Linked DNA regions of Arabidopsis thaliana. The protein of the gene in region 1 interacts with the protein of each later gene in a biochemical or structural test. Each region holds a gene or a part of one and is shown in the gene's direction. Other genes may lie near its edges. The genes, in order: AS2 and TCP2.

What was found.
Region 2: the proteins of AS2 (region 1) and TCP2 form a complex in vitro, tested with the Arabidopsis thaliana proteins (one study listed by BioGRID).

Annotation. Positions count from the first base shown.
Region 1 is NC_003070.9:24,396,473-24,401,731, forward strand, and holds AS2 (Lateral organ boundaries (LOB) domain family protein), read left to right. Parts: upstream 1-1,670; 5' UTR 1,671-2,041; exon of another isoform or gene 2,042-2,842; intron 2,843-2,845; exon of another isoform or gene 2,846-3,240; 5' UTR 3,241-3,357; intron 3,358-3,623; 5' UTR 3,624-3,673; coding exon 3,674-4,273; 3' UTR 4,274-4,514; downstream 4,515-5,259. UniProt on the Arabidopsis thaliana protein: Negative regulator of cell proliferation in the adaxial side of leaves. Regulates the formation of a symmetric lamina and the establishment of venation.
Region 2 is NC_003075.7:10,162,127-10,167,270, reverse strand, and holds TCP2 (TEOSINTE BRANCHED 1, cycloidea and PCF transcription factor 2), read left to right. Parts: upstream 1-1,687; 5' UTR 1,688-1,828; intron 1,829-2,593; 5' UTR 2,594-2,961; coding exon 2,962-4,059; 3' UTR 4,060-4,349; downstream 4,350-5,144. UniProt on the Arabidopsis thaliana protein: Plays a pivotal role in the control of morphogenesis of shoot organs by negatively regulating the expression of boundary-specific genes such as CUC genes, probably through the induction of miRNA (e.g. miR164). Participates in ovule development.

The DNA of each region.
Region 1 (5,259 bases):
AATATGTATAGAGGATTGTGATAATGTACTCACTATCAATATAGTCAGTTATAAGTTAGAATTCTGTTAAAAGTGTTAAAATAATGTTTTGTTTCAAATACTTAGTTTATCAAATAAACTTTTTTAATCTTTTTATGTCACCATGAGTTATCTGAATAAAGATGTTTATATATCCGCAAGACTAGTCAAAAGTGGATAGCTCCATTAACTGTTATAGTGTAACTATTCTAGTGTAACAATTCTTAGAAGTATTTGGTTTTACTATTTTAGTCTTACTTTCTATACTTGATTGTTCAGGTAACATTTTCAAAATTGGAGATGATTTTACTTAATCGTAAACTTATTACTTATATACTAAAAAGCTTGTAAGTAGGGCCCGAAATGTGGAAAACATTGTAATTTAAATCCAAACTAGTTTTAGAAGAAGACGCAATGTATATATAATAATGGAAAAATATGAAAACGATATCAGCCAAACATACTTATTATGAATATTAATTGGAGAGAAGGAGTGTAACCATCCATATGGTGTGAATTCTATGATTTTTGGACCCATTGTTATAAACGAAGGAAGAAGACAAAGAACATGAAGACATGAATAGTTTTATTTCAAAAGTAATGAATAAATATATAAATAAAAGGAATGGTTGTCGTTTGAAAATGGGTACGAGTAAATAGTGTTGCAGACTCTGCTCCAACAGTAATTACAACAATGCAATATGCAACCACGACCCACTTGCTTCTATTCATTTCCCATTCTTGTTCTCTCTCCAAATTGACTAATGTTTTAAATGTTATATGATCATGATAACCATTCTTTTTTCTCTTTGCACGCTTCTTCGTTAGGTTAGGTCGTACGTAAAAAGTGATGACCTAATCGTAGAGACCAACTAAATTTCGGTTCTGATTACTTAATCGAGTGTTTAAATTTGCTTAACTTGACATTTGTTACCAAGAAAGGAGAACTAGTAGTGAAAAAAGAGAGTTTAAAACCTTGACAATCGCTTAACCCAAAGTTTTAGAATATTTCTGCTAGTACATAAGGTAAATGTACACATTTATTGTAGTTGTTGTATTGGTTGAATTTGGCTCTGTTGGTTGAGGTTTCAGATTCATAAAAAAAAGTACTGTAGTTACTAGTAAAAATGAACTTGAATTATGGTTGTATTGTTGTTATACAAAAATGGCACACTTTATGAAACCAACTAAAAACAAGTATCCATTTCTGATAATAACATTTTCGAGGATTTTTAAGATATACAACAAAATGCAGAACTATATACAAAGTCTTGTGTCTTGAGAATGTAACTTCAATTATTAACACCAAAATGTCTAAAAACCTAAAGCATCTAAGAAACGGTGCCACTGTCTCTAACCCCTTTCTCAACAGTTCGATACAAAACTTCCATTAATGTTTTTCTATTCCCTTCACATTTGGAAATTCAAACTAAAAATGCATAAACAAAAAATACTATAACCTCATCTTAAAAATTACTAATGTCCCAGTAACATTAATCTCATAGGGTTACTAATCATGGGTTATCTTTTAAACTCCAAAAACAAAGTAGGTATCATTATATAAACAAGTTTCATGGTATATCTCCTAATTTTCCCGTAGAGGAAAGTATGAAGATATATATAGAGAAGAAAGACAGAGTCCGTGATCACTCACTCTCTCTCTATCTCTATATATCGACACACCATAAAAGTTGTTCTTTCTCTCCGTTTCCTTAGCCTCTGCATCTGGGCGATTTTCTCTTTCTATCTCCCTACACCTTAGGGAGTACTGATCCTAAACTCATCATCTTTCTATGCCTTCCTCTTTTCTTTCACTTATTTTCTTTTCTATTTTTTTTCTTTCTTACTTTGCGTAAAACTAGCGAGTCAAAAATAAAGACACTTGCATGATCCTAATATAATATTATATATTGTAATTAGAGAAAGAGAGAGAAGAGAAGAAAGAAAGTGGCAGTAGATTCTTATGGATTTTGGTATAAAGAAACATGAAAAAATGGGTTTGACCGAAGAAACTTTGAGGACGGTAACTTCATTATCAACTTTTCGACTGTATTTATATTTTAGCTTTTGTCAAACCGTATCATATAATATTAATGCGAATTACTAGTAGAGAGTATAATAATAGTAATAACAAAATGCTTGGTTACTGTATGTAAATCCCTAGACAAAAAGAATAAGAATAAAAAGAGCAAAATTCTTCATCCCAAGATCCATCAGGAGAGTCAGAGTCAGACCCCATCTCTCATTTCCCATCTCTCCTTTTCACATTTATTTCCTTTTTTTTCTTTCTAGATACTTTTTTATTTTGAAATTTAATACTAATAACTATACATTTATTGTTATTATTGTTGTTAGAGTCTATGCTAGGGTCCAAGGGTTCATCCCAATATCCCTTCTTCTCCTTAGAAACTCGCAACTTCTTCACATGGAAATCAATTCCCTCTAGTACCAAATCCTATTACTATTGAAGGTATACTCTATAGTTATTTATTTAGTTAAGTATATATATTAAAAATAAATAACATTAATTAGTACTAGTCTTATCATATTTATTAGCTCATTTTCTTATAAAATACTAATATAATAGGAAATTTAAGCACAAGATGAGCTTTGCCCATCGAGAGCCTCAAAACCCAAAAGTCTCTTCTTCTTCACGAGATCCAATCTTTTGCTTTTTAGTAATTAATTACATCTTCTTCCTTCTCTTCTCTCTTCTTCTTCCCTCTCTCATACCTACCTATAAGCAACACAAAGAACACCATTGATCCCATCTGTTTTGTTCCCTATATTTCGTTAATCCATCCATACGCATTCCAACTACACGGTACAAATTTCCATCTCTTTTTAATTTGTTTTTATAATGATTTTAAATCTCTCAGGTTGTCTCTAGACTCTTAGGTCTAGTTACCAAAATTTGACTAGCAATCATATAGCTACAAGTTCCTCTATATCATATAGCTACACATATCTCTAGGTCTGAAATGATCTTTTATCTCCCAAGCATATATTATATATTTGGATGCATACCTTTATGTTTGACTTTCGAAAAGCACCTTCATGTTACTCATTTTTTCCTCTATTTGCTTTCAACAGTTGACAAGAAGGTTGGATCAGTATATATAAGTATACATATACACTTATGTGTGTGTGTAGTGTATGTGCATATATAGCTCACCAAATATCTTTAATACTACTAATTGCAAAGTTTCTCTTATTTTACAGCTTTTTGTATGCAACCCCAAATAGCAGCTTAAAGAAAGCAGAGAGGATCTTCTTTTATTTCCCCTCTGAGCAACAGAAGCCATTATTCAAAGAAAGGCTTCTTTAATTTACTCGCAGGTAAAAGCTTTCTTATTCTATAGAGATTGAACAACTTTTTTTTTTTTTTAATTGACAACAATAAAGATTGAGCAACTTCTCTACATTATTTCTTTCTTTATTTTCTCACTTAATTTCATATTTGATTACAAAAACAGATAATGTAATATCTCCAAAATCACAATTGATTTCATAATATCTTTTTTTGTTTCCTTATACCTTCTACCTCCAAAAACTAAATTCAAAAACCCTTATTTCTCTCAATTTTCAATGGCGGCTTTGTGTAGGGAGAGGGAAAAGAGAAAAAATTGAAAAACTCCATTTTCAAGTCATTAAAATGGCATCTTCTTCAACAAACTCACCATGCGCCGCTTGCAAATTCCTCCGGCGAAAATGTCAACCGGAATGTGTATTCGCGCCCTATTTCCCACCGGACCAGCCACAAAAATTCGCAAACGTTCACAAAGTGTTTGGAGCAAGTAACGTGACAAAGCTCCTCAACGAGCTTCACCCTTCACAACGTGAAGACGCAGTGAACTCTTTGGCCTATGAAGCCGACATGCGCCTCCGTGACCCTGTCTACGGCTGCGTCGGCGTCATCTCTCTCCTCCAACATCAGCTTCGTCAGCTTCAGATAGATCTCAGCTGTGCTAAATCTGAGCTCTCTAAGTACCAAAGCCTCGGTATCCTCGCCGCCACTCATCAGAGTCTTGGCATCAACTTACTCGCCGGAGCAGCAGATGGAACAGCCACCGCCGTGAGAGACCACTATCACCACCACCAGTTTTTTCCTAGAGAACAAATGTTTGGTGGCTTGGATGTTCCGGCCGGTAACAACTACGACGGTGGGATTCTTGCCATTGGACAGATCACTCAGTTTCAGCAGCCGAGAGCCGCCGCTGGAGATGATGGTCGCCGTACTGTTGATCCGTCTTGAGATTTTAGGGTTTTGGTGGTGTTCATCTTCGTCGATCGCTTGGTGATGAGAAAACTATAATTTTAAGAAAATATTTGATGTGGAAAACCAAAATATTTTAAACGTATGGTACGTCTCTCTTAATGACATTAATTTCGGTTTTTATTATTATTATTACTTAGATATATTATGATAGTCACTTTTGTATTTCTTTCAAATTTTATGGACTTGCTCTCTTAATTGATATCACATACTTGCATTATAGAGTATATTATTTCCAAATATGTCGAGTCTATTGATCCGCATATGTACCTCCAGCAAGAATATAGACCTAAATTCAGTTAATCATTGAGTGATTTTAATGGTTAATGTTAGACTTCTTAAGTATTTAAAAAACATTATTAGTAAAAATTATGAATATGAAATATAGTGTATACCATGTAGATAAATGTATTATAGTGTTTTCCTTTTATTTTTTTTGTAGTTCAAATTTTAAAATTAAATAATAAAGGAAAACTATTAAAAACATTTAAAATTGACATATTTATATAAATGATATTTGCAAGAAAAGAGGTTTGATGTGGAACACTGTCAGCGTCAAGGATAAGATTTGATGTAAGAAGAGGCTTAACGGAATATAACATGAACATGAAACATCTTATCTCCGGGCGAATTATACCCACTAGCTCTTTCTAGGCTTTCTCTCTAATTAAAAAGTCTCCTTCATCTATTTATGATGACTCTATTTATTGTTGTTGTAAATACTAATTGTCACATCAACTAATTTAGTTTTTTTTGATAAAGTTACTAGTTCCTTATTTTACTATTTGGGTATAGTAATATGCAAAATCTCAATTAAATTACTGGTGCTATTACTCTATATGCAAGTTGAAAATTCACAGAAAAAGTTAGTGATATAGAGGGCGCCTTTCACAAAACCTACAAACATATATTAGTGAAAAGAATTTTAATAAACAGATATGATCAGTTATTTTCAAAAACTAAAA
Region 2 (5,144 bases), on another chromosome or scaffold:
TTAATCGCAGTTATTGAATTCCACAAACCACATTAACTAATAACTAATCTGTACTTATTAAAGTTAATAGAGTATGGTGTAATACCACTTGACTAAAAAAATACTACTAGATTATTAAAATTGCAAACGATTTGTACTAATTCTTGAATTAAATTGTGCGTGTTTTTTCCATGAAGTTCTAGTGATGTGATGTGGGATTGACATAGTGTAAGTTATTAAAATAGGGGTTTGGATTTCTTTATCAATATGATTTGTTAGGTGGAAAAGAAATGTATAGGTTTTAAAATAGTTTTCATTCTTCCTTAAATATCATTATCCCGGAAATTTAGTTATTTCTACTTTAAAATAGTTTGTTTAATTTTTAGATATTTGCTTGGATTATGTGCTTACTTTGATAATTGTTTTGCATTGTCTCCAAAATAAAATTTGTTTTTATATTTTTATTAGGCTAGTACATGTTATGGTTAAAAATAGAAAAATATCATAAAAACTGCTAAATTTAGACATTTTCTCATATAAAATTTTTATTTTTTTTGTTCTATATAAAATCCCAAACTTTTCAAATTTGAACCCGAGCAATGGCTGACTAAGACCTATACGATAATTTAGTTAAAAAGGTCGTTGACGACATATTTTTCATTTGATTAATTTTTGAAATTCACACATAATAGTTACAATTTTTCTAATTTCTAAGATTCATAGTATAAGTTTTTATCGTAATAAAGATATTTTTTTGGTAAATAACAATTAACATTGTTATGATACGGACAGTATATATATTTCCATGTAGCATTTTTTTATAAAAAAATTTCATTAACATAAGCAAACTTTAAACACATAAACAAAATATAAATAATTTACTCACATATCTAAAATTAAAAGACCTCAAACCAAATAGATAATAAAAAAACAGAGGAAGGATTCGAGCTTTATGCTCAAGAGAGAGGGTCGAGTTTACTCTGCAAAATGTTCTGAATATACAATATTAATCATGTCGGAGAACAAAAAGACTAAGAGTGTAGGCGAGACCGCGAGAGTTCCTTTTTTAAAGCAAGTAGATAAAAACTTGGAAAACTAGCTTGAGAATGAGAGATATGTTTATATTGCGGTATGAATCTTTTATCTATCTAAATCTATGTTCCGAAGGAATTGGTGGAAAACCATGAGCTTTACATGTAAAGAATGATAGACCAAACCTATTTTGAAAACATAAAACATGTAGCATTTTTTATGATCGAAACATATCATAGAGTAGATTATTGAGTATTAATCGAATTCTATTTCTATGAACAAACTAAAATCCTAAGGACACTTGGACAAAGTGAATTGTTTTTTTGTTTGTTCTCCTCTCCTACATAAATATACATGTGACATGAGATAATATGATTTCTCATATTCACGCATTGATTTGTTTCTAACATTTCTATAGCATTTATGTTCACAACTTCTTGATATAATAGCTGCCAAAAAAAACTTCTTTAAATATTTTCTTGTGTTTTTATTGCCAAAAACAAACGAAAATATCAAATAATTTTTCTCACCTGAAATCAAATTACTGAGGATGATAATTTAATACAGATATTTTGTAGAGGACCGTGGCAATTCCGTGAATAAGTAATGTAATGAAGGGCAAAAATGGAAATAAAATCAAAGTTTATGCCCAATATCTCTCTCCCCATCTGATGATCACTCCTTTAAAATCACCATCAAAGAAATTCCAATTTTCTCGGATTTTTATTTCTTATATACAAATCCCTAAAACCCTATAGCCCTCTTTCTTCGTCACCTACTACTACTAACTCCAAGCTCAAGCTCCTCTGTTTCTTCTGTAAGTCTCAATTTATCTCATCGAATTTTCCGAGAAACAAACAAAAACCAATCTTTTTCATAGAAAGAATCTGAATTTCGTGTTTATACTTAATTCTGATTCCAAAAAAACAATTCTAGATCTAAGATTTTTATTTCTTGATGAGAATTTCACTGTAGAAAGAAGTGTATTTGTTCCTTTAATTTGCTTTAAAATTTTGGTTTCATATAATCTCAAAGCCAAGAGCTTGACACCTGTGATCTGCATAGAATCCAGAACACATCAATAATGATTCCTTTTTAAGAATTTTTAAATTGATTTAATCTTCTTGTTGGTTACTATGAAACAACTCTTTTTCTTTCATAATTAGAAACACCAAAATCTTTATATAGAGAAGAAAAGCTTAAAACTCGATTTCTGCATTTTTTGTCTTCTTACTCTTTAAAGCCCTCCATTGATAATCGCTTCAGCCGAAAGCAGTTGATTCAGCTTAATTATTTATCATAGCTTCTGATTCTTCTTCTAGCTCCTTCTTCTTTAATCACGATCATTAACTTTAAACCCGTTTTATCAATTGTTGTGATATGTCAGATCTACAATGAGTAGAGCATAAATTCGAATCAGAATAACTGATATCTTAATTATGTGTATATATGAATGAAAGTCATCTGTAGAAAAAGTCGATAAGGATGTAACATATATATATATATATATAAGCATTTATGTATATATATATGTGTAAAGATTTGTTCTTATGAGATTGTTTCTTTGTTTTTGTTATTGCAGGCTTGTGGTTAAAAATCATTTCAGACACAGTGCTTTTGATGACTCTCTGCAACAAACAACAGCAGCTGCAGACAAAGCTTATACGAAGCTGTATCTACTGACTTTGATGGTGAAATATCAAAAACCCTAAATTAATTTTAAAAAAAAACACATTTTTTTTCTTCTTTTGGTTTTTCCTCTGAGGGTATTCATCATCAATGCTTACAAAGTACAGTGGGTAAACAAAACAAAAACAAAAACCCATTTTTTTCTCCTTCTTTAAATCCCAAACCAACCCTAAAGTTTTGATTTTTAATTTTGGGGGTAACCAAAAAAAAACAAAACCCTAATTTTTTTTCTTTAGTGATGAGATTATTGGTGATGATGAAATGATTGGAGATCTAATGAAGAATAACAACAATGGCGACGTTGTGGATAACGAAGTGAACAACCGGTTAAGCCGGTGGCATCACAATTCTTCCCGGATAATTAGGGTTTCACGAGCTTCCGGTGGTAAAGATCGACACAGCAAAGTCTTGACTTCTAAAGGACCACGTGACCGTCGTGTCCGGTTATCAGTCTCCACCGCTCTTCAATTCTATGATCTTCAAGATCGGTTAGGTTATGATCAACCTAGCAAAGCTGTTGAATGGTTAATCAAAGCTGCTGAAGATTCAATCTCTGAGCTTCCTTCACTCAACAACACTCATTTTCCGACCGATGACGAGAATCACCAGAATCAGACATTAACAACAGTTGCTGCTAATTCCTTGTCTAAATCTGCTTGTAGTAGCAATTCAGACACGAGCAAGAACTCTTCTGGTTTGTCTTTATCAAGATCGGAGCTTAGAGATAAAGCTAGAGAGAGGGCTAGAGAGAGAACAGCTAAAGAGACCAAGGAAAGAGATCATAACCACACTTCGTTTACGGATTTGTTAAATTCCGGTTCAGATCCGGTTAACTCAAACCGGCAATGGATGGCTTCAGCTCCTTCTTCATCTCCAATGGAGTATTTCAGTTCGGGTTTAATTCTCGGGTCGGGTCAACAAACCCATTTCCCTATTTCAACAAATTCTCATCCTTTCTCATCAATCTCCGATCATCATCATCATCATCCTCATCATCAGCATCAAGAGTTTTCATTCGTTCCCGACCATTTGATATCACCGGCAGAATCCAACGGCGGAGCATTCAATCTTGATTTTAATATGTCAACACCCTCCGGCGCCGGAGCTGCCGTCTCCGCCGCATCAGGTGGTGGCTTCAGTGGTTTCAACAGGGGGACCCTTCAGTCCAATTCAACAAATCAGCATCAGTCATTCCTCGCTAATCTACAGAGGTTTCCAACATCAGAAAGTGGAGGAGGTCCACAGTTCTTATTCGGTGCACTGCCTGCAGAGAATCACCACCACAATCACCAGTTTCAGCTTTACTATGAAAATGGATGCAGAAACTCATCAGAACATAAGGGTAAAGGCAAGAACTGATGATATTAATTATTGCATCTTTGGTTTTGTTCAAATGCTCATTTTGTATGTTTATCTTTGGTTTATTTCAAAACAAATGTTAATCTCTTTCGTTGTCTGATGTGTGTTAGGGTTTTGTTTTATGTATTGAGGGTCTTTGGAAATCTTTTTGCATTGTGCTTGTAATGTTGTATTTGTGATAATAGCATTTTGTTTGTGAGTTTATAATTGAATTTTTGAATGTTATTTTTGCCATGTAATTGGTATAGTTAGCATTTTTTTTTTCTTTAGTAAATTGTTTATAGTACGAAGATACTGTTTCTTGGTATTCATGAACAAATGGTAGGTCAAGGCAATAGGGCGATCCTTTTAAGGTACTAGATTGAATCAAATCAAATACTCAGAAGAATTAAATACAGAAATTAAGAATTTTCCCAAAAAAATAAAAAATACAGAAATTAAGTGAAGAGACAAAAAAAAACTTGTAAATAAAAATAGAAAGAAAGAAAATATACATAATAATCAGGGAAATAAATAATTTTGATAGACAAAACTGAAAAATTGAGGGTAAGGCCATTATGCATTGAAGAGAGTGAAAATCAAAATGAATTGTCTCCTGTTGTGCTCTATGTTTGGTTCCCTTCTTCCTTAGCATCATCTCTCTCCATATGTATTGTTTTTATAATCTATCTATCTTATGAATATATCTTCTTCATTTGACAGCTGTTGTCTTCAACAATGGCTATTCCCAAATTTTCATGATTTTATTTCTTATGATCTGTTTATATTATTATAAGTTTTTTTAACTTTTTCTTTCATGGGCTACTTGATCTTCTGCACCCACATGGCTAACCCATCTTTTAGGGTACTAGACAAAGTATTATTAAATTCATTCTTTTAGTTGTTTATTAGAAAACTTTCAACTTTTGTGTGGTTTTGGGATTTAGAGTAAAGTTGTTTTACTTGTGATTCATGTGTGTTTGAGGCTTAGGTACTTTCAAGTAATTTCCAAAAGTGAGAAAGATAATAATATCTTAAAAAACCTTTGATTGGGAGTCCCAATATTATATTGGCCTAAAACATTAGAAACAATAGACATTACAAAA